4 linked regions of the Alligator mississippiensis genome follow. The protein of the gene in region 4 purifies or fractionates together with the protein of the main gene of each other region. This does not show direct contact. Links are inferred from orthologs where the notes say so. Each region holds a gene or a part of one and is shown on either strand. Other genes may lie near its edges. The genes, in order: RBBP4, TRPC4AP, FBXW5 and CUL4A.

Evidence for each region.
Region 1: the proteins of CUL4A (region 4) and RBBP4 purify together in Homo sapiens (affinity purification with western blotting; 3 studies listed by BioGRID, with this or other methods). This does not show direct contact. The link is inferred for Alligator mississippiensis from reciprocal best matches to the Homo sapiens genes CUL4A and RBBP4.
Region 2: the proteins of CUL4A (region 4) and TRPC4AP purify together in Homo sapiens (affinity purification with mass spectrometry; 7 studies listed by BioGRID and IntAct, counting the BioPlex papers as one, with this or other methods). This does not show direct contact. The link is inferred for Alligator mississippiensis from reciprocal best matches to the Homo sapiens genes CUL4A and TRPC4AP.
Region 3: the proteins of CUL4A (region 4) and FBXW5 purify together in Homo sapiens (affinity purification with western blotting; 5 studies listed by BioGRID, with this or other methods). This does not show direct contact. The link is inferred for Alligator mississippiensis from reciprocal best matches to the Homo sapiens genes CUL4A and FBXW5.

The regions. Positions count from the first base shown.
Region 1 is NC_081829.1:5,390,339-5,397,536, forward strand, and holds the start of RBBP4 (histone-binding protein RBBP4), read right to left. Parts: upstream 3,007-7,198; 5' UTR 2,913-3,006; coding exon 2,897-2,912; intron 2,430-2,896; coding exon 2,282-2,429; intron 1,446-2,281; coding exon 1,300-1,445; intron 1-1,299. Other genes in the region: ZBTB8OS (protein archease), read left to right, coding at 4,902-4,989, 6,449-6,473, 6,939-7,060. UniProt on the Homo sapiens protein: Core histone-binding subunit that may target chromatin assembly factors, chromatin remodeling factors and histone deacetylases to their histone substrates in a manner that is regulated by nucleosomal DNA.
Region 2 is NC_081832.1:29,697,630-29,705,244, reverse strand, and holds the start of TRPC4AP (short transient receptor potential channel 4-associated protein), read right to left. Parts: upstream 3,010-7,615; 5' UTR 2,944-3,009; coding exon 2,833-2,943; intron 1-2,832. UniProt on the Homo sapiens protein: Substrate-recognition component of a DCX (DDB1-CUL4-X-box) E3 ubiquitin-protein ligase complex required for cell cycle control.
Region 3 is NC_081835.1:50,640,792-50,648,733, forward strand, and holds the start of FBXW5 (F-box/WD repeat-containing protein 5), read right to left. Parts: upstream 3,018-7,942; 5' UTR 2,930-3,017; intron 2,924-2,929; exon of another isoform or gene 2,711-2,923; intron 1,319-2,710; 5' UTR 1,294-1,318; coding exon 1,101-1,293; intron 967-1,100; coding exon 809-966; intron 1-808. UniProt on the Homo sapiens protein: Substrate recognition component of both SCF (SKP1-CUL1-F-box protein) and DCX (DDB1-CUL4-X-box) E3 ubiquitin-protein ligase complexes.
Region 4 is NC_081824.1:351,845,694-351,852,593, forward strand, and holds the start of CUL4A (cullin-4A), read right to left. Parts: upstream 3,007-6,900; 5' UTR 2,979-3,006; coding exon 2,819-2,978; intron 1-2,818. Other genes in the region: PCID2 (PCI domain-containing protein 2), read left to right, coding at 3,624-3,659, 5,808-5,897. UniProt on the Homo sapiens protein: Core component of multiple cullin-RING-based E3 ubiquitin-protein ligase complexes which mediate the ubiquitination of target proteins. As a scaffold protein may contribute to catalysis through positioning of the substrate and the ubiquitin-conjugating enzyme.

The sequences.
Region 1 (7,198 bases), on a different chromosome or scaffold from region 4:
AACTATTAGTTTTAAACACGAGAAAACTGAGGTAGAAAGACAGCATTGCTCAAGGCCACAGCACTATCCCTCATTGTCAAGAGCACCTGGCTTCCAATCTGCTATTCAATTCAAAAGAGCAAACTGCCTTGTACGGAAAAATAAAGTAGCCGTAAAGCCGTTATAAAAAAAGAAAAAATCAGATAAGTGACTGAAATTCCTCAACAGATTTGCCGAAGCTATATTTAACATTTGTATTGTGAATTGGAGAGCAAGTATTTGTCAGCACCTGCACCGAGAGAGACCCCAACTTACACACTTTGTACAGGAATCTCTCTCTCTATCACACACACACACTTTTAATCATATACAACCAAGTCAAAACTAAACCTATTTTCAGGATCACAAGCAGATTTCAGGAAATAAACAGAATAAAAGGAAAAGATATCTACAGCCTTATGATCGCAAGTAATATTGCAAAACTTTTTAATATACTATACTTTAATACTCACTCTGAAAAAACAAAAAGGAATTGAAGACAACAACAAAAGAAAAGAAGTAGTGGTACTAAAATTTGATATTTCTGGGAAACAGAAATCCTGAAATGAAGTATTTTAGACAGAATCTTGTTTACAAGCAGTACTAGCAAGTCCAACAATCAAGGTATCAATTGCACAACCTTGGCTCCTGGCAAACAAGGAAATGAGACAACTGAACTGGAAAAGTTGTATAACGTGGAAGAAATCATTAACCCAACTAGAATAAGATATGGCTAATAGGTAGGAATGCTGGCTGCCTAGGAAGGTTACTGATATATTTGGTTTGGATCCCATGGTATTATGGCATTTAACTGAGCAAAATACAATCATCCTTTTATTCTGGAGGGGCTGGCACGTCTACCAGTCAGCAGAATTCAAGCTAAAAAGAACACTTGAAATTGTACACCCTCTAAGGAATGGCAGAAAGCCTCTTTTATCAAATTATGAAAGCTACCATCATAAAGAATACTTTATGCAGTCACAATGAGAAATAATTAAAATAATTTCTATTGCACAATCTTCCAATAAGTTCTACCCCTCTCCTCTTCAAAATGTTATAAAAGCAAAAAGTAAGTTTAATTCAGCATGGCATATGGAAGATTAGAGTACAGTGCACAGATCCAAGAAGAAAGGAGGAAAAGTTGTAACCTCTCCTGATCACTTCATAGGATAAAAGTTCCATATTACTTAATGATCTATTAACTCCAAATGAAAAAAGCCATTATGTCCAGTGGGAAAAAAAAGTTTGGAACTCCACTTGCTGATCATCCGAGACTCTTACCTCCTTTCTCGCTATCATAATGTGAAGCATCAAACTGTGCATCGTCATTGGGCAGCTGCACGCTGGCTATCACAAGATGATTTTGCTCGTCTGAAGTATGTGTCCCCAGGACTAGCCGGTGAATACTGAAATCTTTGCCTTCGGGTCTACAACAAAATAGGATTACAGGAGGGGAAATGAAAGGGAGTTAATTAGATATAGTTGGCTCACAGGAACAAACCTGGACCTGGAAATTAAACCTCCAAAAATAAATAAATAAAATAAAAATTATAATATATCTTTTAGCGCTGACCATGCCCTCTTACTCCAATATCAAATCTTCCAAACAAAATCACCGCAGTCCAACCCTAGACGGACAGCAGATACCTATTTCCTTGCTGCTATCCCAAACAAAATCACCGCAGTCCAACCCTAGACGGATAGCAGATACCTATTTCCTTGCTGCTATCCCAAACAAAATCACCCCTGTCCAACCTTAGACAGATAGCAGCAAGGAAATCTGTATCTGACATCCCCACAATACAAGCTCTCTTCTCCCCGCAGGACTCTCCCACTAGTACTCCCGTGAGTAACGCCTTGAGGCATATTAGCATTTTCTGCAAGTGACAGGTGGAAAAATACATTGTGTCAGGGACCCGGGGAAAGAACAGTTGTGCTGCACAGCAGAAGGGTTTTGAACAATACCTAAATGCTGCGTACGTTCATTTTGCAACTTCATCAATGGAGGGTAAAGAAGAAAACATCACTTAGTTACAGGTTGAACACAGCCTGAAACATTTGCTGCCAGTCAGCAGCTATTTCTGAATCAAAGAGGCACCAGGCAGCAGGCAGCAGAGGTGCTGCCTGGTGCCAGCACAACAGTCCTCAACCTACTGTGGCCAAAGAGCTGATCACAGCCGGCAGCAACCCACTCCCTCCCATACGTGACAGCGAAAGCGTCCTTCAGTCCCATTTACACCAACAACCAGGAGGCTCGACTCACCTGGTTACATCAGGAAGCCACTGGGCAGTCAAGCTGGGCCACTCGAGCGCGTGGGTCATCACCAGGTCGTAGAGGAAGGGCGTGTTCTTCTTCCAGATCTTGTACTCCTCGTTGATCACCCGCTCCTCCACCGCATCGTCGAAGGCTGCTGCACGTCGCCAAGGGGAGGAAAAAAGAACGTGTTCATTTCAACGGCGGGTCCGGCTAGCACCCTACCCGTGCGGCCCCGTCGCTTTGCCGTAGCTGCCAAACAAACCCACCCACTGCCAGGGTGCACCTTCCCACCCGCCCGCCCGCCCTCCGTGGCCCTCACGGGCCCATTACCAAGGGCCCCCCCCACCGCGCACAGACCTGGGGAAGCATTTCAGTCCCCCCCAAGAACCAGAATTGGGGGCTTTGCTGTGCAGATGAAGGGCCAATGATATCAAATATGCAAATTAAAGGAAAATTATGCAACACATGCTAATTAAAGGGGGGGGGAAATGCCTCTTTGAAGGCTCCCACGGAGGAGCCGGACAGGAAGAGAAGGGAGGCCCAAGGGCTGCTTGCTCCGGCAGGGCTGGGGAGGTCCCACTCCCGGCCGCGGCGCCAGGCCCTGCTCCCGGCCGCACGTACCTTCCTTGTCCGCCATGTTGGGGTGCGGGGCGCGGGCTGCCGGCTCGGTGCAGCCGCCGCTCTATTGTTTCCGACCCCCTCTGCGTGCCACTCCGGCGCCGCGCGCCCTTCGCGCCAACGCCCGCCAATCACCGCCCGCGGCCGGGCGCCCGCCGCCAATAGGAGCCCGGCGGGCGCTTGACAGGGCGGGCCTAAGGAGGCGGCGGGCTTGCTGTACGGTCACGTGGGAGGGGCCGGCGCTGGTGAAGCTCCCATGGGAGCCGCCATTTTCTGACGGAGGGGCAGCATGGCGGGCCGCCTTAAAGGGCCAGCGGCCCCTCATGCCCTTGCTGGGGCTCAAGCCTCATTGACCCTGTTTCTCAAGGCTGCTGCGGGAGGGGCAGAAAAGCAAGCAGCCTAGGGCTTGCCTGCCAGTCGCTGCAACCTGTGATCAGACAGGATTGAGGATCTTGAATAAAGCAATATTTATTAGCCTATATAGCAATATTGATCTCGAATAAAGCAATATTTATTTGCCCCCCTTTTTGTTTCGTTCTAGGTTTGAAGGACAAAATTCAGTTTTTGCCTGAATCTGCTTCCTACGTGGGGGTTTGTTTCTTTTTTCCCCTCTGATTTTCCCCCAAAGAGTCCGATCAGCGCTGGAGATCGTAAGAGTTTTGTACAAGAGCGTCCTGTGTAGGAGACATTATGGTCGGCCTTTGCTGACTATTAGGGATCCTGGTTTTCTCTGGATATCCCCAATTTTCAGTTAAAGTAATCCCAGATCCATGTTTTTCCATGATTAAGATTAAACATCACTAGTATTTACCTATATATTAATGAGGTTTCATTTAAAAAATCCACATTTTTTTGTGATTTAACTGAAAAATGGGGATTTAAAAAAAAAATTTTTTTTAATCGGAGAAAACCGGGATCGCTGCTGATTAGCCTCTGGCCTCGCTCTTCACTGCAGCAGGAAAGACGCTGATTATTTCCAACTGGAGTCAGTATTTTGCAGCGGTGTGAGAATAAAGCAGACCACGCAGGGGCTCCGAAGGAGGACGCTGGAGAACACCTACCCGATATCATCACCGTATCACAGAACATGAGAGCTGGAGGGACCTCGGGAGGTCACATCTAGTCCAACCCCTGCTCCGAGCAGGACCAGCCCCAACTACATCATCCCAGTGAAGGCTTTGCCAAGCTGGGTTTTGAAAACCTCCAAGGATGGAGACTGCACCATCTGTCTAGGTGACCCGCTCCAGTGCTTCATCACCATCACCCTCCCAGTGAGAGAGTATTTCCTAATATCCAACCTAAACCACCCTTGCTGCAACGTCAGACCGCTGCTCCTTGGCCACCACTGAGAACAGGACTACACTTTTCTTACAAATTGTATTCTTTACTCCCATCTTTAAAAAAACAGAGTAACTGATGGTATTTATTTAGTCTTAGATTTAAAAAATAAATAAATACCAGCTTTTCCTTCTACTGGAATTAACTCTAGAAACCATCTCATCGTTTCCCCCCTTTCGCTTTCATTCATAGCGCTCGGCCCCTGGTGGAAGCCTCAAACAGTCTAAATCGCCAGTGTTTTCCTTTTCTTTTGCTATTTTCCTTCTTCTTGAGCAGCAGCAGCATGCTTGAGGCTGCGCAAAATTAATCAAGTTAAACCAAAGGACAGCCTGGCACTAGCTCAAGGTGTAAGCTATTTGTGGTGCGGATCCTGAAAATGAAGCTTAACTTTAGGCACATTGAGAACTTCTTTCAGCTTCATTGACTCACTGCCTAGTACGTTTTTGCAGGCTAAAAAATACCCTTGCAAAGGATTTTGTGGCTGGAGAATTCAGGGGTGCACATTTCAAACCTCACTTATTTTCAGTGCCACTTGGTGTCCTCATTGCTCTCCAGTCGAGCAGGGAGCTCTGCCTTTAAAGGGTAGGATCACATGGTGAGTCTGGGCTGGATCAGGCGAAGAGGGGCTGTCTGAATAAAGCAGGAAGCAGGTGCTGCAAGGCTGACAGTGATGGCTGATAATTTCCGGGATTACAACCTGAACCAGGAGCAGAAGGCTATCAAAGCCAAGTACCCTCCACTCAATAAGAAGTATGAGTGTGAGTATCCCCATGGCATGTCTGTGGCTGGGAGGGGAGGTATAGACCTAAGCACGTGTAAAACTTGTGCTTCACACTGTGCCCTGGGATCTTGTCTCTAAGTGGGTAGGGGAGGCTTATTGATGCGTCTTGATATGTTATCTTAACGGAGATCATTTAGCTTTGTGCGATGGGTCCTAAAGAAGTCCCTGTGTGTTCAGCACCTCCAGGCAGGTTGCCATAACTAGTTAGTGACTCCTGACTTTGCAACTGGAAGTTTATTTTGAAAGCCTGAAAAGAGAAGGAAGCAAATCTTGCTGGGTGAAATGAAAAGTGGTATTATCACTCAAAACTGACTTGCAGTAGGGGGTAATGATGATACCATACTAAGAAAATATAATATTCATTGGAGAAACTATAATCCAAGAGCTGGTTAATTATGCAAATCACATCTGCCACCACTGATTTATTAGCCAGTCAGCTCAGAACAAAGTACCAATGCTTATTTTGTTTTAAAACTTAAGTATAATGCCTTAGTGTGGAGCTGTTATAAGGAGGGAGGTATGGTAGGGTCTGATCCTGTGCGTTACTGAGTCCCCTCAACTCCTGCTGGTTGAAGGGCAGACAACAAGTGCTCAGCACTGCAGCTCCCGGTATTATGCATCTTAGTGGCACAACTGTATCTGGCAGTAATTCTGCAGAATACTGGTTTCCACTGACACTGCACAGCTTGTTCCCATAAGCATGCAACTCATTTTGAATTAATGCCTGGTTTTCATATCCAGTTTAACCCCAGTAACACAAGTTGGATGGGTTTTAGGGTATTCTACCAATATTAGGGATACAGTGTAAAGCCAGGCCTATTACACCATCTGTTCTTTTATCCCCACAAGGGAAGTCAGATCAAAAGTTCCTTGAGAAACAAAATTTCTGTGAGCTGCTCCATAAAACAGATTATCTAAAATGCTTTTCTGGCATTTTAAGTGAACATTGATGTGAGACTGATTACAATATGGGGGGCAGGGGGAAGGTTACCAACTTCAAGGAGAAGAAAATTGAAACAAGAGTTTTGGGTTCAAATTCTGTCTTTAAGTTTCTTCCATGTGGCCTGTATAGTTTGGGAAAGCTCTATAACATTTTCATCTATTGAAGGATGGTATGAAATGCATATATATTGGGGGTACTTTTTGTGGAAACAAGGTGATGGGTTTATTATGGAGGGGTTGTTTTTCTTGGTGGCTTTCTTTTAAAACCTATTATGGTACCTACTATGTGCTGCTATCATATTGATCCTTTTATAGCATATTTAGCTAAAGGTCAGATTAACATTATTAATATGAGGTCAGATGTGTCAAAACATGCACAAAATATTCTCATGATAAAAACAGGACCTGAATTTTCTTGCAAGTAGTCATGCGTTGTTTTTCTAAACAACTTTGACAATTCCATAACTCTTTCTTTTTTTCTCCTAATCCTTCAGATCTGGATCACACGGCTGATGTTCAGTGAGTATTTACAGCTGGAATTTGAGTAGAATTTCTCTATAAGCCTGATTCTCTTCAATACTTGTCAATCAGGAGTAACTGACAAAATCTAATGTGACAAGAGAATAGGGTGCAAATATATCCCTTTTGGGCCTGTGGATGCCACATTTAAAGATGCTGTATTTGTTTCATAATTCTGCTGCCTCTTATTTCCAAATGTTCCATGTACATATGTTCCAACAGTACCTGTTTAGATATCCATGGTTTTTAGTAAAATACTCAATATTTTTCCATGTTGTTCCTCCAAAAGAAACTCCATTGTCTTTCAGTGTTTCAGCACTTACCATAGACAAGTCTCCCTGCTTAAAGGCACTGTGTTTGCTGCTTTTCCTACTCGTATTTCTATGGTACTCCAATTCCTTACTTGTATTTTCTCGTCTTTCTTTGTCGCTGCTGTATGATGGTGTAACTCTTACGTCTCTGTAGGTTACATGCCTGGGGAGATACTTTGGAAGAAGCTTTTGAGCAGTGTGCTATGGCCATGTTTGGCTACATAACAGATACAGAGACTGTGGAGCCCTTGGATACTGTAGAAGTGCAGACAGAAGGTAAGAAGGCACTGTGCAAACTTTGAAAGAGAATACTGTTGAAATTAACTTTGCCTTTCAGTCAGAAATAGCTGGCTTATTGCATGTAGTATTGGCACAGGTTTATTAAACTAACTTATTCTTTCCAAATCTGAATAT
Region 2 (7,615 bases), on a different chromosome or scaffold from region 4:
ACTGCCTCTTGGGCTTCTCAGGTACATATAAAGCTAAGACCACAGAAGAAGGTAAGCAGGCATCTAGTATGTTAGAACATCCTGTTGTAGTCTCTCTTGTCACACAAGTATTTGATAATTTTACTTAAATCAATATAAAATGAGATGCGAGTTATGGCGGATAATGCACAGGACATGAATCATGACCATAATGTATTACAGTTAAAAAACAATCTTGTGGAACTTGTTCACTTTAAAAGGGACAATATCAAGGTTAAATTATCAAAAAACCTCAAGGAAAACACACGCACAAGACCAACAACCTTTCACTAGTGATTTGTTATTTTCCTTAGAATGGACAGTACTGCAGGTAGGCCACAAGGAATATTATCACTAGGCTGTATCCAACCCAACATCTATATTATAAAATAGGTATTGAGGCCTAAAGTTATGCAAACAAATCTTGTATCCATCACTGCTCATAAACACTATTCAATGATCAAAATGCTTCAAGTCCTTAACTAACAGGAAAAGTGGTATACCAAGGAGATAGCTTCAGTTCGTTAGTCTAACTTGATTCTTTTAAGATTAATAGTTTTACTCAGTGAAGTCGCATCAGGACGGCAGATCCAAAGAACATGCCCTTTCTTCTAAACACAGCTTATAAAGTCTATATAATGGGTGGGAGCAGCAGCCATCTTGCCATGCCAGCAGCTCCCCCTTCCCCTCCCCCATCAGGCTATGTAGTTGAGCCACAGTGGCCACAAGGACTGCTGGCTCTCCAAGGGGAGCCAGCATTTTATTTTTGGCAAGTTTTTTTTTTTTTTTCCCCAGGGAGTCTGCACCTCTTTGGGAGCCTGCCTAAAATTGCAGTTTCCATGAAGATTGTGAAATCACAATTTCAGTAGGTTCCTATGTATAATTTTTTGTGCTTTTTCCTCCAGCTTAATGCTACTTTCTTTGCATTAAAATCAGCCAGAAGCCCAGCACTAATAAAAAGCTTCACAGAAAGCCAACACACACAGAGTAAACAAAATCCAAGTCAAGAAATTGATTTCATTCTCAATGTTTCATGGGATCATCAACAGTGGAAAATATAAATTTCAGAAAAGTTCTGATCAGTGTTACTTAAATGAAAAATGCAGTTAGCCTTTCTCTTTCATTTCAGAATTATGCTACTACTCACCACTAAGTCCACCAGGTTACATGCCTGAATAAATCAACACATGCACTTAAATCTTGACATTTTGGGTTAATTTGAAATGCCAATCAGGGCTTCTTTTCTATTCAGAAAAGGAAGCACCTCTATCCTCGCCTCCAAGCAAAACACCACCACAGGGCAGTATTTCTGTGGTTTCTATATTGGCCCTTCTCCACCAGTCTCCTTACATCCTGAATTTCAAGGAAAGAGAGAGAACAAAGTAGTATGGTATAAATTCATTCTCTTGCTAATGGGGGATTCTGAGGACAGTTCTCAGCTCCTAATACTGTTCTGCTGTCTTGCAGTACAAACTAGGCTGGGAAAAGATGATTTGTATGCAAGCACAGTAGGTCTGGACACACCAGGAAGCTACAAGTCCCCCTCAATGGCTGGATGGAGGCCACTACTAAACATATAACATGAGTTATATGGTCCATGGTCCATGAGCTGGACTCAGTCCATGAAGCCTCTCTATCTGACCTACTGGGCTGCCAGCAAGCACCAGGAGTTGAGGGGGGTGGAGTGACCTACATAATCCAGGGTCCTTTGGCCCCATGGTACATGGTCATTGGTGGCAAGCTTGTTTCACCTCCACTGGACCCTGTGTGGTCACTACCATGGTAGCTACTGTGGCAGCCCTCAGAGCATGGGGCTGGATCCAGCCTGCAAGGAGCCCTGTGGTCCAGCTGTGGCCTGGGATCCAGGTAAGGCCAATACTTGTGGTATAAAACAGATATCATAGGACAAGTCATGAGAAACTGAACAGGAATGGGGGCCAAAGGTTAACAAGTAGGGTGATAAGAGGACAGCAAGCAGAGAATGTCAAATCTAGTTCCCATTGCCCCTTGACTGTATCTAATCATCCAGTGGATGCTCCTGCACCACACATGTGAGAGCAAGCAAACAGAAAACAACCCCACACACCCAGGTCTGAGTGGGAGGGGTGGATTTATGCACCAGAAAGCTCAAGAGGTCACTAATAGAACTGGCAGTTTGGGAGATTTGGAGGCTGTTTTCTGCACCCACACAGGACACAAGCCCTGGACTGCTGCTCAGCACTTTCCGTGGCTTGCATGTAAAGTCACAAGGAAATTTAAAACACAACATCCTGCCATCCTGGCAAGTTCACGCCTCAGCCAAGGGGAAACATGCAACCTTCTGCACAGAGCTGGGGGCATAGCAGAAAATCTTCCCCGCTTGGGCCAGAGGTTCCGGCCTGGCACGCCCCCCGAGGCGGGAGGGCTGTAAACCGGAGGCAGCAGCGGAACGGGGCCAGAAGAGCGAGACACTGGCGTGGGGAAGAAGCAGGCAAAAGAGCCGGGCTGCTCTGAACCTCGGCTCCGGGACCAGCCCTTGACCAGCTGCAGGACGAAGAAGCTCACAAGCTTCAGCAGCACTGGCCGTCGCCCTTCGCGGCTTCCAGACGCCCCCCCCTGGCATGACACGTCTCCAGCTAGCGGCGCTCCCCTCCCCCTACACCCGAGGAAGGCCAAAGCGGCCGCGCACGGCCTCGCTCAGCGCTTGCAGCTCTGCTCGCGAGAGCGCCCCCTGCTCCGGGGCCCAAATCATGCAGGCCCCAACCCCCGCCACCATCACACCGCCTGCGGGGGCCCGCAGCCTCCACAGCGCCGCCCCCGCCAGGCCCGCCGTACCTGCGCCCCCCGAGTCAGGCCGTTGCCGCTAAGTTGCCCATGCCGAAGCTGAGCCAGGATGTTGGTGGCCACCCGCCGGCCGCCTCCGCCAAGCCTCGGGGCCGCCGCCATGGCCGCTCCTGCTGCTCGGAGACAAACAGGAAACACCCCTCCTGGCCCGGCCGCTCGGTACGAATCGGCGCAAGGGCCGTCCCACAGCACCCCCGCCGGCTGCGCCGCAGTGTCGACCTGAGAGCAGGCCGCTCGGGGGCCCCTGGGAAATGTAGTGCCCGCCCAGCCTAGGAGAGCGTCGCCGGTCGCCTGTGCTGGCTGCAGCCTTAGGGAAGTGAGCGCGGGGAGGCGCCACTGCCACAGTCACCGGTCCAGCAGCCTCCCACGCACCCCCGCGTCACAGTACTGGAGCACAGCGCCCGCGCTTTACTGCACGGCAGCACCCGGGGGCTACCCGCTGCCCTGCACGCCCGGTTGGAGCCCCCGCAGAGAAGGCTGGCAGAGCCCGCAGCCGGGAGCCCTTCGGCCCATGGCCACGCGTTCAGATAATGGCGTAATAAGGAAGCACAGCTATTACACATTTGTTTTGGAATAACTTTGTGGCTCATTCTTTGTTTTCTCAAGCCACGAATAAATTGTACATGTAGTTGAGTCACAAGCCAAGACCCGAGTACAAGTTAATATTGTATTAAGCATAATGCTGCTTGCCGACACTACCCCTCCCCCGCCCCCCCAAAAAACAAAAGCTTTACTGGAAGCAGCAGCACTTACTTCAATCCAGCTCCCCAGCATCTATATAGATTGGGTACTTCAATGGGGCTTTTTGGTGCTTTTATCTAATAGCTAATTCAATCAGCTATTAATAAAAGTGCCCCAAAAGACCTACTAAAACACCCAATCTTAAGGATGTTGGGGGAGGCAAGTCCAAGTGCCTCTTCTGGGCATGTGCTGGGCTCAGGGTGGGATCACACTGACTTTAAGGTGCCATTTTTTTCTTTTTTAATGTCTGCAAGCAGCCGATGTGTAGATGGGGTCTAACACGCTACAACAGAGCTAGGCAATCATTACAATGCTGCAATCCGGCATGCACACCCAATTCCGCTCTCAGGGCCCCAGGTCTATTCTACATGCATGTATTTATTTATCAGATAAATATGCTGCCCTCCTAAACAAAGGCGGAGGGTGCGCTGATAGAGATATTTGATGCCGGTACAGACAGCCGAATTTTAAGGAGGCATATGCGCTGATACCGATCCAATTTCTGATAAGGCTGGTAAGTCTGGTTTGGTGGGAGGGGAGGGGAGGGAAGGGAAGGGATGTGAGGTGGGCAAATCAAGGCCCCTGCAGTGAAGGGAGGGAATGGGGCAGGGGCTGGGGCCAGGGCAGGCATTGACCAGCCAGGGCGGGGAGGGGTGTGGGACAGAGCAGCAAGCAGATCTTGCAGGGGGTGGGGGTGGCATGTGCCCCCTGGATCTACGTGGGGTTGGTTGCAGCTGTTGGCTGGGGCCAGGGCCGCAGTGGGCACAGGACAGAGGGGAGGCGCCGCTTGTCAGGGAGCTGACAAGCTCCCGCCACTGCGCCCAGCTCATCCGGTGTTGTCTGGCAGCTTCTGCTGCTGCTTCTGCTGTTGGTCCAGGAGGATATGGGGGGAAGGCGTGTGTCCCCAGATTTGCCCGGTTGGGAAGAGCCCAGCCCTAGCCCACCCTGCCTTGTGCAGATCCAGGGGACATATAAGCCCCTCCACATGCCTTACCTGATGAGAGGTGGGAGCAGCAGCGGGAGCCGCCAGATGAGCACCGGATGAGCTGTGTGGAGCGGCGGGAGCTGCACCCCCACCAACGAGCCGCACCTCTGTCCTGCACCCGTCCAGGCCCCACCTGGGCAGCCCCTGCCCCAACCCCACACCCTCCCTCACTGCAGGGGCCTTGATCTGCCCCCCCATGGCCCTTCCCTCTGTCGCTGCCGTGCACTGCAGCGGGGGGGTCGGGACCTTAGAAGCCGTCAGGCGGGTGCTTGTGACGCTTGGAGTGGAATTAATTAGGCGGACGCTTATTGGTTGCAAAGCAAGATTATTTACTCATGCCGTCAAGGTGGTGAAAGACGGAGGTCAGAGATACTTGGTTAGTTACAGCTTAGAGTTTATGAGGTCGGTCTGCAAAGTAGGTCAGTTCGCAAAAGTGGTCGGGCAGAAGGTCGGGCCGGCAGTCATCGATTACGTCTGAGATTGGGTCGAGATGGGGGCGAACTGGCAAGCGATCAAATTGCCAGTTTACTCTGACACGTATGTCAGAGGTCTCCAGGTGTATACGGAGTCGCTCTCCGACTTCACGGAAGTTAAAACGGGTTTTATTTGTGTAATAGCCAATTGCTTTTCGCCACGTCATAGATTTAATTAGAATCGCCAATTATCTAGCGGTCTTCACTAGGGTGTTTGTAGCAGGGAATACTCCCCTGTCACTCCGATCAATTACAATGATTTATGTAAAGCAAAGAAGGCAAAAGTTTTATCTCTGTTAGTGGCGCAGCAATAAATTTCTTTTTGACATGCGCAGCAAAAAGGCGGTTACTGGCAAAAACTTTTGTTAACCCTTAGTTAACTTAGTGAAAATAAAACTGCTTTAAATAGTTTCACTTTCTTGTGACATGGGCACTATTATAATTGGGTTGTGACATGCCCCCTTGCCCATGGCACAGCAAGTCACATCATGTTTATGTACAGACCATTACGTCATCATCTTTGTTAGTGTTTGGCAAGCGGGTGTATACAAAAGCAGAAAGCGTGGTTAACTTTGTTTTGAGATACTATAAAATCCAACAACTAAAACACACAAATACAACAATGGCTATTGTCACAACCAAATTAAGTAGTGCCCATGTCACAAACAAGTAAAACCATTCAAAACAGTTTTTTTCTGCACTAGGTTAACTAAGGGTTAACAATAATGATAGTAACCGCTTTTTTTTTTCTGCGCATGTCAAAAAGAAATTTATAACTGCGACACTAACATGAAATAGAACTTAGCCTTTTGTGCTGTACATAAATCATTATAATTGGTCAAAGAAAACAGGGAGTAACCCTGCGAGATAGAACCCTAGCGAAGACTGCTAGATAATTGGCGATTCTAATTAAATTTATGATGTGGCGAAAAACAATTGGCTATTACACAAATAAAACCCGTCTGCACTTCCGTGAAGAACGGGAGACCTCCGCACACACACCTAAAATACCTCTGAACGTATGCGTGAGAGTAACTGACAAATTGATCACTTGTCAGTTTCCCCCGTCTCAACCCAATTCTCAGACGTTAATCGACGACCTGCCGGCCCGACCATTTCTCTGCGCGACTACCAAACTCTTATGCAGACCGACCTACGACCCTTAAGCTATAACTAACGAAGTATATCTGACCTCCGTCTTTCACCACCTTGACGGCGTGAGTAAATAATCTTGCTTTGCAACCAATAAGCGTCCGCCTAATTAATTCCACTCCAAGCGTCACAAGTACCCGCCTGATGGCCTTCTAAGGCCCCGGACCCTTATCTGCCCGGGTGGGAGTCAGGGAGAGCTGCTGGCCGGCTGCCCTGGGTCCCGACATGGCGTCACGAACAGGATCAAGGGGAAATGTGATGGAGTGGGAATTAATTTGTCATGACCTAAAGGTCTGATTTTTTTTGTGTGTGCGCTTCGGCACTAAGAATTATCCCCGTGGGTTTGCAACTTCGCTGCACGGAGGAGTTCTGTTGCGCAGAGAACCCGCGTGCAGGGGAGTGTTCCCGCCACTTTGCAGCGATCTTTGCAGGGTGCATTTCCTTTGCAGCACAGAAATGCACGGTGCAAAGGTTTCCCGCTCGTCATATGCAAATTCGTGCCCCGCAATTGGCTAGTTCTAAATTATTCACACGTGACGGCTAGCGATTGGCCTGCTAGCCGTATAAGAGGCTTGAGCAGTTTCCACCCAAGCCGAAGAGGACTCCGCATCCATCTCGTGGGGACTCTGGGTGTGCGTGGCAGGGTAATAGAAACCCTGTGTGTCGCTCGGAGGAGTTTGGCGGCCTGATCCATCGCCCACCTCTTCCCGTCTTCGAATGGAGCCTACTATAAGACGTAACGACGAGTTTAATGCGCGCTTGTCCTGGACATCCGGAGTTTGTCTGCGTGGAGCCTAGCAAGCTCCACGTGTGTTCGTGTTTTTTGTTGTAACCGCAACTCAAGCAAGTTCTCAGCCTACACCACGACCATCTCGGTGTAAGTAAAATAATCTTAAAATCAACCGTTACGTGTCTGTGCCTAATTCTAGCTCGGCGCCCGCCCTCTCCGATCCGGCCTGCCCGGGCTGCTGGCCACAGCCCGTGTGCAGAGCGACGAAAGCGACCCGGGTCAGACCCGGCACGCACATAATTAAGAACTGCCCCTGGTGTAGTGGGGGGCACCGTGTAGATAACGCGAATGAATTATGGGCCCACATCGCTTATCACCAAGCAAGCAGAGTGGAGACAGGGTGCGTCAGCGGCTACTTCTCGCTGAAAGGAGAGGAGGGAGTTGGAAGGGAGTGGACAAGCTCCGAGTGGGACAAAGGAAAGATGATTAACGTAGTGTCACTCCTACTGCGTGAAAATGCAAACTTAAAAAACCAGTTAGCTACAGTCAGCAAAGCTACTGCGGAGATGGCAGCGTGCCAAAACCCTCCGTTGCCACCAAAAAATGGCACCAAGAAAAATATGAGCTGCCCGGAGGACCTGAAAAAGAAGGGCGGAGCCACAGAAGAACAGGTGGGACTCCACCCAGCAAGCC
Region 3 (7,942 bases), on a different chromosome or scaffold from region 4:
AACACTGGCACATCGGTGCTTCAGGCAGAACCTGGGAAGAGCTGGCTTGGGCCACAAAAATCAGATCAGATATTGTACTGCAAAGCCATGTCCCCAGCCCTTATGCAATCCTTCCCACAGGTCACAGCTCATCCACACCCGCTCCAGAATATGCATCGTCTTCCCCCCCACCCCCCCCAGTCCAGTCACATGCAAGTTATACTCCTCCACATTACAGACATTAAAATCAGGAGTGGGCAAAATGTGGCCCATGGGCCAGATGTGGCCCACCAGGCCATTCTTTCCGGCCCAAAGGGACAAAAAAAAATAAATAAATTAGAAAATTAAAATTTATTTGCCCCTGGCTGCCTGTCATGTGGCCCTCAATGGCTTGCCAAAACTCAGCAAGCGGCCCTCTGTCTGAAATAATTACCCGACCCTGAAATGCTTCAAACCCCCAAAGGGAAAGGGGCTTCTTGAATGAGCTCAGAGTCTATTATAAAGACCAGCTGCTCAGAGAGGCCAAACCGGTTAGCTCACAGCCCCATATATTCAGAGCCCTGTGACTTCTATACCTCTCCTGTGTTTTATGGAGGCTAAGACGTCTCAGCTGCAGCATCTCCTCCACAGTGCCTGATCCAAAGGCCTCACTATACTAACCAATCAGATCAGCTCCCAGCAAAGGAAAGGGAGGAGGAGGAAGAAGAGGAAGATCAGGGTACAACAGCTTGACAGAAGTTTATACAGCTGGAGTCAAAGCTTGAGCCTACCTCACTTGGTACAAGTGAACAAACAAATCAGCCAGTACAAGAGCCGGCTACTTCTTTACCTTAACAGTGCAGTCCTTGGAGCAGGATGCAAACAGGTAGCCAGAATGGGAGAAGCTGAGGTGCAAGACCTGGTCACTGTGCTCCCTGAGGGTCTGTACTTCAACGCACGGGATGGTGTCATAGAGTCTCTGGAACTCATCGTACCAGGAAACAGCGACTGCAACACACAAGCCGAGACATTTGGGAATCGGAAGGCAGCAAGGAGGGGATGGGGGTTAGCCACAAGCAGAGGCCACGGAGTTGGGTGGCTTTGCCTGTAGCAGTTACAGCGCACAATTAAAGATACCTGACCTGGGTGCCGCGGCACTTCCCGAGAAATCCGGTAGTATCGATAAAATAGTTCCTTCCACAAGAACTCATCCCGGGCCACTGCGTGCCACTGCCGACACACCAGTGTTGCTGAGAGCACGTCTACGTGGTCCAGGTAGAGGAAGATCTCATAGAGGACGCTGTCAGGGAGAAGGGGATTACCCCCAACATCCATAGTGTCATTCTGTCACCAAAGGACTCTGGAGAGACACAGGAATGCAGTTAGTTTCCACCAACCTGCCTAGCATATCATTAGGGAGACACTTGCCCAGAACAGGGAGGCTGCCATGCCTGAGCAAGCACGCTCACAGGCAAAGCAAGCAATCGCGGCTTCTCACAGGCAGAGGCAAATGTACCCACTTTAAACAGTCATGTTTCCAATTGCAAACACTTGTCAGGAAAACAGCATTGGTGGGCTGGGGAGGGCAGTTTTAAACTAAACCTGAGACCAGTTTTCTCTTCACTTGCCCTCATGCAGATGAAGCTTTTTTGAAATAAAGAAAAAAGTTCACACATGTGGCAGCCCCCATGGTCCTATGTCTGGAGGCACATGAACACGAAGCATCGGGCACGTGCCTGACTTCAGTCCTGTGCACAGTGACCCCCAGTGCGGTCCACCAGCAGGACTTGAAAGCGAGACCTTCAGCATGAAAGCAGTGAGCTGAACCACGTGAAGCACGGAGCTGAACAAAGGGTGCAAACGGAGGCAGCGTTGATGCCTATAGGAAGCTGCCTAGTGGAGCGGTTCGGCGGGTCTGCTCCTACAGCCACGTCCTCGTAACTCTAACGCCATCTTGATCACAGTTAACATTAGTGACGCTGACCACTTGCAGCTCCTGTAGTGACAGAGCATAGCAGCTCACACGCACCCCCCAAAACAGCTCCTCCTTCCCTTTTAAATCAGTGGACAGCTAATAGGCTTTGGCTGTGGACCGCTTCAACACCAGCCAGTCGCGCAGCGCGCAGACCAGGCACAGGGGAGCACGTACAGACCGAGCTTGCTACGCTGCCACTTTCCCTGGCGAGCGCGAGAGGTCTGCGGCCTGACACTGAGCAGCGCGTCCTGCTGTCAGCCCGCAGCAGCGCTGCCTACGGACCTGGCACCCAGACTCCAGCACAGCTCAGACGTTTGGGATGCGTTTGCTCTGCCAGGAGGCGAGGAGCACACACTGTGTTTACGAAATGCGCTACGCGTCTCGAGCCCCACGGAGAAAGCGCCAGCAGCAACTGCTGCTGCTCGACGCGCCGATCCTTTTGCTCCAACACTAAGAGGTGAATCTCGGTGCAAGGCTGACGGCCGGTGGGGGCCGAGAGCAGCCGGGACCCCAGCGAGGCCGGTCGTGTCGCCGAGTCCTGGGGAAGCAGCAGCAAGCTCTGGCCCTGCCGCCGGGGGCACTGGAGGGCAACCGGCCGCACCCGCAGCCTCCCCGAGTGCCACCGCGACCCCTGCCCCTGCCCTGGCCTGCTGCTCTGCTTTCTGCCCCTGCCCCGCCCCAGTCCGGCCTGCCGCTCCTGTCCCACCCGCCGCTCTGCTTTCCGCTCCCCTCCCCGGCCTGCCCCGCGCCCAGCGAGCGGCCGCCGCGGGCAGGCACCTGCAGGAAACCGGGCTCCGGGCGGCCGCGCCCCCGGGGGCCGGAGCCGGCGCGAGGAGCAGGGAAGCGCGGGGGTGCTCGGACCCGGCGCCGCGTCTACACTAGGGTCCCGGCTGGCCCCGCCCTCACGCGGCCCGGACCATCTCAACCGGGGGTGGGGGGGCAGCCTCGTGCACCGCCCTCGCCCCGATGGTACCGCCCGCCCCACCCCCGCGAGACCTTCTCCTCTCCTGCTTCTGCGCTCTGCCGCACGCCGCTTCCGGCCCCTCCCGCCTCACTTCCGCTCCGGCCTGTGCTGGCCGCTCTAGCCCCTCTCTGTGCTCCGCAGCCACGCCCCATCCCCTAGGCCTAACGGCTTCATCCCAGAGCGCCGCCCGGCCAGGCCTGGCGAGTAGAGCTCGGCATCATCCGTTTCTCCAGTCACCTCCACGTGTTCCTGCCCCTCTGCGGGAGGTGTCGCGTCAGGCGGGCGCCCGGCGCCCAGCACCCTCTACCCCGCGTCCAGCACCCAACACCTAGTGTCCAGCACCCTCTACCCCGCGTCCAGCACCCAACACCTAGTGTCCAGCACCCAGTACCCACTACCCAACATCCAGCACCCAGCCAGCCCTGGCGCTGCTGTGTTGGGCTTGCCCCATAGGTGATGCTTTATGCAAATGAGACCTCGGTATGCAAAATACTTTGCATTGATTAACCGGGAGCTAATAAGAGCCAGCACATGATCCTTCCCGGAGCTGCACCCCGTGGCAGGGAGAACCAGGCTGGCGCCCAGCGGCGAAATGAGGGCCCTGCTCATTGCCACTGCACCAGCGCTAGGAGCCTGGGAGCTGTCAGGAGCTGGCCAGGCTCATGGAGTCGCAGCAGGGGGTTTGGGCGCATTTAGCCCCGCCCTGCCCAGAGTACAGGGCTGCACCTGGATCCGTGGCAGCCCTTCCTCTTGCTGGGGTTAATAGCAGTTGTGCATCTGCCTGCGATGCCTGCTACATGTTACATCTGTGACACAATGGACAGGTGAATCGTGTCATAGGTTTAGACCAGCCACACATGTAAAGTGATCCTCACACCATCAAAATGACTCCAGATCCAACCACCTAAGAGTCAGTGGTTGAAATTGTAGTCCGCAGGTTTGTCATTACCCTAAAATAGAATAGTTTTCTGAAAGCATACTGTTAGGTTTACAATAATTTGGATTTTTAAGAAGTATTAGCTTTACAGCTGAATACAAGGCATGACCTGTGGCCTAGTAATGCAGCTGACCACAAGGCAGAATGATAGCTAGGCCTTTGCTTGTGTCAAGTAATCATTTTAACTGCAACAAGCATTTTCTGAGTTAAAAAGTGAATCTGTGTCTGTGCGCTAAAAAAAATCAGCTACAGCAAGAAGTAAGATAAGACAGAGAAACCATTGTTTTGAGCTTACTGGTTGTGTCCTTGAGAAGTATCTTCTACTGTGTAAGGTTTTGCTAACATAATGTTACTGTTACTTAACTTTTAGCTTTTCAAAAGTGCTAGTTCAGCTTAATAGAAATATGCTGTTACAAAGATTTGTAGAGCACCGCCCCAAGTATTGCTTTTTGTTAACCATATAGTCTTGCTTTGTTGTAAGAAGTATAAAAGATCGCCTCACCCTTGAGGGGGGGCCATTTTGCCTTTTGCTGGCTTTATGGTCTTTGCTCGAGCAAATAAACAGCTGTCTTTCTTTACCCGCGTTGTCTGTCAATCAAATTACAGCTAGACAACGGACCTTAGGGAGGTTTCTCCCACCACAAAATGCTAACAGCTCCATGGCTGGTCTCTATCCAGCTTTCATTTGAACCTGTGTCAGGGCCCCAGCAATCAGCAGGGCAGGATGAGCTGGGTCATAGGAGACAGGGAGTTGAATCACTTCCCCACTGGGTGCTTGTTTCCCCTACCATCCTTTGTGGGGTGGCCTATAAGCTCTTTGGCATGGAGACTGTCTCTATCAGTGTGCAGTGCCCTGCGCTGTGGGGCATCTCAAGTGGGAGCCTCTCCAAGCTTATGCAATGACAGAAAATGGTGAGCTCTTCTCTAGCCTTCAACCGTTGCATCCCCCAGCCTGGAAAGATGTGCCACAGTAATTGCTGCACCTGGCTCACCCGGTGAGAAAAGTTTTGCTCCTAAGCCCAGACTGGAATCTCTTCTTCCTGGCTCAGGATTCTGAAGAACCCCTCCCCCCCGCCTCCTGGTTATCAGCGTGGCCCAGGATTGATCCTCCCACTCATGCTCCATTAGGGCATAGACATTTCGTAGTTTCATAGTTGGTAGGGTCGGAAGGGACCGAAGCATCAAGTCCAACCCCCTGCCATGGCAGGAAAGAGTGCTGGGGTCAAACGACCCCAGCTAGGTGATTGTCTAGCCTCCTTTTGAAGACCCACAGGGTAGGAGCGAGCACCACTTCCCTTGGAAGTTGGTTCCAGCTCCTAGCTTCCCTGACTGTGAAGTAGCGCCTCCTAATATCTAGCCTGAACCTACTCTCCATCAACTTATGGCCGTTGTTCCTTGTAACTCCCGGTAGTGCTCGGGGGAACAGGGACTCTTCCATTGCCTGCTGGTCCCGCTTGGCAAGTTTGTAGGCGGCCACCATATCCCCTCTCAGCCTTCTTTTGTGGAGGCTGAACAGGTTCAGGTCCTGTAGTCTCTCCTCACAGGGCCTACCCTGTTGCCCCCTGATCATGTGGGTGGCCCTCCTCTGGACCATCTTGATGCTGTCCACATCCCTCCTGAAGTGCAGTGCCCAGAACTGGATGCAGTACTCCAACTGTGGCCTGACCAATGTTGCATAGATGGGGAGGATCACCTCCTTGGACCTGTTTGAGATGCATCTATGGATGCATGGCAAGGTGTGGTTAGCCTTTCTGACCGCGTCCCCACACTGTCAGCCCATGTTCATCTTGGAATCACTAGTGACTCCAAGATCCCTTTCTGCCTCTGCACTGACAAGAAGGGAGTTCCCCAGCCTGTAGGTATGCTGCTGGTTTTTCCTCCCCAGGTGCAATAGCTTGCACTTGTCCGTATTGAAACCCATCCTATTCTCATCTGCCTACCCCTGTAACCAGTTCAGATCTAGTTGTAGCCTGTCCCTCTCTTCTAGCATGCTCACTTCTCCCCACATCTTAGTGTCATCTGCGAGCTTGAACAAGGTGCTTTTCACCCCCTTGTCCAAGTCACTGAGGAAGATATTGAACAGTGCGGGCCTGAGGACCGAGCCCTGGGGGACCCCACTGCCCACATCCCTCCAGGTCGAAAAACACCCGTCTACCACCACTCTCTGGGTGAGGCCCTCCAGCCAGTTTGTGACCCATCTGACTGTGTAGGCATCAACTCCACAGTTGCCTAATTTTTTAATGAGGATGGGGTGAGAGACAGTGTTGAAGGCCTTCCTAAAGTCCAGAAAGACTACGTCCACTGTGACACCTGTGTCCAAGGCTTTTGTGACCTAGTCATAGAAGGCCACCAGGTTGGTCTGACAGGACCTGCCCCTAATGAACCCATGTTGGTTGCCCCTGAGCATAATCTCCCCTGCTGGTCCCTCACAGATAATTTTCTCAAAGAGCTTCCCCAGGACCAAGGTAAGACTAATGGGCCTATAGTTTCCTGGGTCCTCCTTCCTCCCTTTTTTGAAAATGGGGACCACTTTGGCCCTTTTCCAGTCCTCCGGCACCTGGACAGAGCACCATGAGTGCTTGTAAAGCTGTGCCAGGGGTCCCACAATGACCCCTGCCAATTCCCTCAGCACTCTGGGGTGGAGATCATCAGGACCTGCTGATCTGAACATGTCTAGTCCCTCCAGAAGTTCCCTGCACTTCCCCTAGGTTGGTCCAGATTCCCAGTGCGAGGGATGTCCCTGTCCCTTCTCAGAAACATGGAAGAAAAGACTCTGTTAAAGAGATTAGCTTTGTCACCTGGTGCTACCACCAGAATACCAAGCATGTTCTGCAGAGGCCCCGCCTTACTTGGTACCTTCCTTTTACCCCCTATGTATTTAAAAAAGGACTTCTTGTTATCCTTGATCCAGGTCGCTAGTCCCAGTTCTATCTCTGCCTTAGCCTTCCTAACAGCCCCCATACAATCTCAATCAATGGAGGTATAATCCTCCTTGGTGATGGCCCGTCTCTTCCATTGCGTGTATGCCTCCTTTTTGGCTTTGAGACGTTCCTGGATGCTTTTGGTGAGCCATGGGGGCTTTTGAGTGCTCTTGCCCCCTTTGATCCATGTAGGGATTGTCACCCTTTGGGCTTGGAGGATCATCTCCTTAAGGAACGACCACTTGTCTTGGACTCTCAACTCCCCTGCCCTCCGGGACCTCAGTGCCTCCCTGTTTCATTTAATGGATCTTTTTAAAATCAGTTCTTCTTGTGCCTCTGCTACCTGTCCAGTCTAACAGCTCATGAGAGGAGTCTAGTAATGGATGGCTACTGCCAGGAGAGGGCAGCATCCTGCTTTTGCTGAGAATAGTGTAGTTTGGTAGCTTTGCTGCTCCAGGGACTATGTTAAGAAGTAGGTTTTGCTTGGTAGTATCTTTTAGTGGATCTGCGGGATAGTTGAGAGACATGTCAGGCGAACTTGCAGGCACAAAATGTCCTAACTCACCAGTGGAAGAACAGTGTTCAAAGAACAACTACTCCAGCTCTGACCACACAGTCCTTGTCATTAAGGGAAACCCACACAATCCCTTCAGAACATGGGCCTGGCAATGAGATCTGTAACTTTACCAGACAGTGAAAGCCATGGGTTCAACACAGAAAATGACTCATTTTGACTTACTTTCTCCCTCTTTACTTCTGTGCTCTCTGAAGGCAGTGACGGCTCTCGTCGCTTTTAAACTGCTTCTTTTTCCTACTTGGGTTGATCTCTTTCAGTTGTTTTTTCTTTGTCTGTAGCGATGACCCCTTTGTTCCACAGGTTTATTGCCTCCTTCCTTTTTAAAAGGGCCATTTTCATTTTTATAATGGGATTAAACAAAAATAATTGCTCTACCTGGTCTTTAGCTTCACCAACACCTGGGCTTGCAAGCGGGAGAAGTATGCCCCACTGGCTGACATCCTGAGGGGCCGTGGTTATGACGTGAGAGTCAACGCACCCTTCATGGGAACGCTCGGAGCCTGGGACCCCAACAATGAGAGCGTCCTGCGTGCCTGCCATGTCTCCTGCTGCTACGTCAAGCTGACGCGCTGCCTTATGGTGTCTGACACGATCCACTGGTCCCATGACA
Region 4 (6,900 bases):
TGCTCCAAGGCACGCATGCACCCACTGGTACGGAGCTAATGCCAGAGCCCGGAGCAGATGTTTGCAGGCTCCCGGCTGCAGCCAGCCCAGGCTCTGGGTAGCTGCTGCCAACCACGGCAGGGCTTGCAGCCGCCCAGCTGCCTGCTGGGAGCAGCCCAGGCTTCGTGGCTAGCAGCAGCTGCCTAGAGCCCAGGCCGGTGGTGGCGTCCCCGAGCAAAATGGCCTCACATGCCGTACTCAGCACACGTGCCGAGGGTTGCTGACCCGATGTAGTTAGTTGAGCCAATAAAAGATACTGCCCACATAAACACTTTCCTCTCACATATTTCCTGGGCCATCACAGCACCTCAACGCAACTTGGACTTTTTAACACACTGTCCATGTTTGTGAGAGAATATCTCCATTTGGTTAAGCATCTCAATTTGGGCAGACCCTCCACCTTCTTCAACAGGACTCCATCCATCTGAAAGGGATGGTATGTGTGAAGTAGCTTGTGGAGTGAGAGCCTATGTCAACTTCCCGAGGGAAAAGAAGCCATCGCACTGGAGTGTTGTTTTAGCTGTGCCAGTTTGGGAAATATGCAAGAAGCGAGGGTTGTTTTTTTGTGGTATCTTTTACTGGACCAACAGTACAGCTGGGACAGATGTTACACAAGCTTCTGTGCACAAAGTGCTGTACTGCAAGACACGTGGTTTGCCTTGAAAGCAAAATTTAACACTACATCACTATTAGAATCTCCCTACCTAACCTAACAGCATCTTCCCCAAACTAAGCCATGAATATGCTCTTAACCAAAGCACCTTTTTAAGCAAGGACTGATGAAGAAGGACATGTGGGTGAACCCTCCACCTCCTTCCACAGGACTCCATCCAGTGGAAGGGGAGGGTCTGCCCAAAGTCGCTGGCAGAGTGAGAGCCTCCTCCATCCTTTGAAGTCCAGGGTGTAGGGCCAGGACACACACACAGGGCCCCATCTGCTGCCACTTTCTTTGAATGCAGCTCCACTGAGAAATACTCTGAACATAATGAGTTAGAGCAGCGCCCAACCAATGCTGCCTGCATTAGCAGCGAGCTTTGAGTTTACACCTTTCTGTAGAGCCTTGAAACAAGGGACCCCCCCAAAGCTCCACACACACACACACCACTTCTGCTGCAGAACAAGCTGCAGTGTTGTCAGGTGTACAATAATTATCATATTTGTGCTATAATTTCAATGCTTGTACAATGTACAGTCAACAATGGTAAGAGTGTTCAAAATGTATAATTTTTTGAGGCAGCTAATTGATGCAGAATATGCAAAACCCAAGTCTCTCAGGGAGTCTTAACTGGCTTTTTTTTTTAATTCTGGAAAATTTTTCATATTTCAGGACAAATCAGCCAAGTCAGTTCTGAATCCTCTCCATTGAGAGAAACTCAACTGTTCAAACACCATCTGTGGGGCTACAACGGGCTTCAGATACTCCCAAATCCACTGGCAGGCATCCTAGATGCAGGTCCAAACCCAGAGGGCTTGGAGTTCAGATGCCCCCAAGTCTCACCTGCCTTTAGCCAACAGCCACAGGAGCAAGGTAGGGAGGAATCCCCCATTTCCATAAAGTCAGCATGTAGGCAAGATCCTCCCACTGGAAGCTGGGCCCTGGGAAGCTAATTAAAACTTGTAGGACATTCTGCCTGCAGTGCATTGGACAGGGGTGCATCCTCCACTACACAATGCCATTTAAATCCATCTTGGTCTGGGTAACAGACCAGTGCAGTGACTACGCTTGATCTTAGCCCACAAAACGCAGCGTCTTAACTGACTTTTGGGTTGGTTGTCAGCACCTTCTTATGACCGGGGATCCTGGTTTTCTTGGATAAAATCCCTAATTTTCAGTTTAATAAAAGGAACCCCAAATACACACTTTTCCATGATTAAAATGAACCACTACTAATATATATATATACAACATCAATAACATATCTATCTATCTATAAATATATATTTATTAGTGGTGGTTCATTTTAATCATGGAAAAATGTGAAATCATTTATCTATCTATATCTATAGATATATCTCTATCTATCTCCGTAGATGGATAGAGATATGTCTACAGATAGAGATATATCTATAGATCAGGGGTGGGCCAAATGCGGCCTCCGGGCCAAATGCGACCCTCCAGGTCATTTTATTTAGCCCGTGGGGCCCCTAAACATTTAGAAAACCAATAGTTATCTGCCCCTGGCTGCCTGCCATGCAGCCCTCGATGGCTTGCCAGAACTCAGTAAGCGGCCCTCTGTCCGATATAATTGCCCACCCCTGCTATAGATAGATAGAGAGAGAGACAGATGGATAGATATAGTGGTGTTTCATTTGAATCATAGAAAATGTGGATTCTGGGTTCCTTTTCTTAAACCTAAATTGGGGATATATATTTTTTTCAATCAGAGAAAACCAGGATCCCTGCTTATGTCCACTTGCCTTGAAATACAGAAATGCTTCAGCTTGGATGCCCTGCCTCGCTCCCCCACAAGAGAGCTACAGCCCGCACTATAAAGTCTGGAAAAAAATAACTTATTTGCACGCTGATTTTTCCAGCAAGCACCACAGTGTTTTGCTCCCGATGCGATGGTCGCACACTGAAGCTTGGCAGCGCGCTGACAAACAGTGCAGAGGGCAGGGGCCTCCTCGGCGGGGCCCCGGGAAGGCGGCAGCCCCGAGGCGCGGGGGGAAGGGGAGAGGGGGGGAGACCCCTATCAGAGGGGAGACCCCGGCCGGGGCTGGGCTCACGGCTCCCCGGGGTCCCCGCGGGGGCGAGGGCAGGGGGCCGCCCCGCACCCACCTCGGAAGTTCTTGATCACCAGCTTCTTGGAGGCGGCGGCGGCGACAGCGCCCCCCCCCGGGCCGACGCGACCCCCTGCCAGCGCCACAGCCTTAGTGAGGCCATTGGTGTGGCCCACCAGCGCCGTCAAGTGCGGCTTCTTGCGCGGCTCGTCGGCCATCTCCGCCGGCCCCGGCCCGCCCCCCGCTACCGCCCCGCCCGCAAGATGGCGGCCGAGCCCTGCCTCCCACAACGGCTAGCTCGCGCTGGGGGGCAACGGACGTGTCCCCAGATGTGGTGCAGATGTTTGTGAGCGTTGTACTTCTACGGGCGGGGGGCTGGGCTCGGGGACCTGTAGCACAGCTGGAGACCCCCGTGTTCCCGGGCCCCGCCCCCATGGCCCTAAGGAAGCCCCGCCCCCGGCCCCAGCGCGTGGAGCAACAAGCCCCGCCTCCCGCGGATGTAAAGGAAGGGGGGGGGCGGGGAGCCAGCGCTGCCCTTTCAACGAAAGAGAAGCAGGGGCGGGGGGCGGAGCTAACTCCTGTAGCCAGGTGGGCCTGGCGTAGATCACGTGGCTCCCGCGACTGGCCTGTCAGCGCGGGGAGGTGGGCCGCTCGGCTGGAGTAAGCGCCAGCATTGTTTGGCCCCGCCCCCTCCTTGCCCCACCCACACGTGACGGAGTACGGGGCGCACCAGGGGAAGGAAGAGGGATGAGGGTGGAAGTCACGTGAAGGGGGTGGGCTTTCGTTGTGTCCTGGGAGCTGGGGGTGCGCGGCGGAGCTGGGAGGAGCCGGCGTCTCACGGGGCGGCCTCTCCAGCCCGGCGCATGGCGCACATCACCATCAACCAGTACCTGCAGCAGGTAGGTGGGCGGCCGGCGGGCATTCGTCCTCCCTGTCCCGCATGTCTGCTCGGGCACCCCGTATACACCCACCCAACACACACGTATGCACATACCCAGTGTACACGCATGTGCACATGCATACACCCACTACACACACATCTGCACACCCAATACATACATGCACACACGCATCCCCAGTATGCACATGCATATACCCACTACACACACACATACATGCACACCATACCCAGTATATATGCACGCATATGCCCACTACATTCCTTAGAGTCTTAGACCAGCAGAGGCTCCCTATGTCCGACTAAGACTGACTGTGCCTGAAAGCTTGCAAAGAACTTTTTTCCAGCTACTCAGTTGGTCTAATAAAAGATATCACATCTACTCGAAGAACCTTGCTCGTCTATGTCCTTAGATCAACGTGGCTACAACCAGCAACTCAGATACCCACTATACACGCATGCATGCGCACATACACATGCAGTATACACACCTGCACATACATGCACCCACACACACCCAATATGTGCACACGTGCATGCAAACACATGCACATGCATACACCCAGTACACACATGTACATATGGAGCCCCTTTGAAGTCTTCCTGAGGGGTGGTGGATGTATTAATGCAGGGGTGTCAAATTTGCCTGGTCTCATGGGCCACAGATGTACACAGGAGTAGTCCGTGGGCCACATGAACAGCACAGGGCTGGATCAGACCCCCCCCCCCCAACATGCTTTTGTATTCTGAAGCTTCTATATTTAATTTGTATTGTTAAACATTAATAACATTCAGATACATTTAAGAGACATGATTCCCTGCACTTAAAATATCCTCCATTTCAGGAAAATAAATAATATAATGAAAATTAATAGTGTATCTTTATTCTTGGAAGTGTAAGTGAAATTGTTAAAGACATTTTAGAAACTTTGTACACCTATCATCCAAAGACAATGATGATATAACATTGTTTTGTAAGATCTCTGGTTTACTTTGATCTTTGTAAGCAAGGAGAAAAAAGGTGGTGACAGTGTTGGTCATCCACATCATTCACAGAATTTCAATATGTATTTTCTGGACTTAAGTTATTTGGAAGTAATGCATGAAAAACTAATTTTTGAAAAGTCATTGACAAGAATGTATATGCATCTGCAGGAAAGTGGCTTTATTTGATATGTGGGAAAAGGTGGCTAAGTCTAGAACTTATTCATAGTTGTTAGGGTTAGTAGGGACTTCAATAGATCATAGAGTCCGACCCCCTGCCCTGGGCAGGAAAGAGTGCTGGGGTCATATGACTCTAGCCAGGTGCTTGTCCAGTCTCCTCTTAAAGACCCTCAAGGTAGAGGAGAGCACCACCTCCCTTGGAAGCCCATTCCAGATTCTGGCAACACTTACTGTGAAGAAATTCTTCCTAATGTCCAACCTAATTCTGCTTTCTGTCAGTTTGTGGCCGTTGTTCCGAGTTATTCCAGGGGGTGGGTGCCCTGGTAAACAGAGCATCTCCTGTTTCTTGCTGCCCCCCGCCCAGCTGGTGAATTTGTAAACGGCCACATGATCACCTCTCAGCCTTCTCTTGCAGCGGCTGAAGAGATTCAGGTCCCTCAGTCTCCTCATCGGGCCTTACCTACAGGCCCCTAACCATAAGAGTGGCCCTCCTCTGGACCCTCTCAGGGTTATCCACATCCCTCTTGAAGTGCGGTGCCCAAAACTGGACACAGTACTCCAGCTGTGGTCTGACCAGTGTCGTGTAGAGGGGAAATATCACCTCCCTGGACATGTTCATGATGCACCTGCTAATGCATGATAAGAGCGTGGTTAGCTTTACTGTTTACTTCGTCACACCGAAGGCTCATGTTCATCTTGGAGTCAACAATGACTCCGAGATCCCTTTCTGCTGCTGTGCTGCTGCGAATGTCCTCCCCTACCCTATAGGTGTGTTGATGATTCCTTCTCCCTAGATGCAGCACTTTGCACTTGTCTTTGTTGAACTGCATCCTATTCTTTTCTGCCCAATTTTCCAACCTGTTCAGGTCCGTCTGGATTTGATCCCTTCCCACCAGTGTGTTTACCGTAGCCCATAATTTTGTGTCATTCCTTGCAGTTGTTTTCTTTTTTTTCTATTTTTTTTACTTTTACCTGTCTTATTTAGGTACAAGAGGCCATTGATACCAGAGATGGACTTTTTTGTGCAGAACTAGTATCATTTAAGCATCCTCATGTTGCAAACCCTAGACTTCAGGTAAGGAAATTCGTTACCTTGCCAAATCGCAGTCCCAAATCCTGCAATATTCTTTGTGTGGGGGAGTACATTTTCATCGACTTTGGAGAGGCTCTTAATGGATATGAGATTTTTCTCATTTGGATATGATTTCTTGATGCAAATAGGAAATCCATGTTAGATGAAGTAATGTCCACAGAGAGGAACGGCAAGGATAATAAATAAGCACAAAAAATTAAAAAGGCACAAACCTACAAAAAAAACCTCTCATACCTGAGAAAGGAGAATGTAGCTAGGATGTAATCTGGGGGGAAAAAGTTGTCTACTGTTATGTAAAGCCCTACAGAATTTAAAAGTGAGAAACCAAGACTGTTCAGAAGAAAAGTACAACAATTTCATTTATAAAACATTTAACTATCAGATAGACTTCATTTGTGTGAGCTCCTCACTACAGTTCCTTAGGAATATTTAAAGTATCTTTATTAATAGTCTGTAAAACCTTTCCTTTTGTGGGTCACTGTGTAAATTTTAAAACTGCAGTTAGCCAGATATGTGGCCAGAAGAACATTGCCCTGTATCCCATTAGCAATAAGATGCATTCATCATTCTTTTCCTCGCTACATAATAACCTAAAAAATATACAATGGTTTCTAGAAGAATACAGTGAAATGTAGATTGTAAGATACATGTCCCCAGCCTATGTTTTTCTCTCTTCCTTTTTTTCCCACCTGCCTTGTCTCATTTTACCTTGCCTTCTTCCCTGAAAAATATCTTTTTAATGATCCAAAGCAGTGGCTCTTTCTGGTTTTGTGTTTTTCTGTCCCTTCTCACATTTTCAACTCTTCAGCTTTCTCCGTGACATGCTTCTTCCCCTTCTTCCCCAATACTTTACCATAGGGGTGGGTAGTTATTTGGGCCAGAGCCACTGAGAGAGTATTGGTGATCTGTTGAGGACTGGTTTAACGTCCCCTCATACCCCAGCTCACCAGAACTCCCTCAGTGGCTCTGCCCTGGAGCTGGCCCC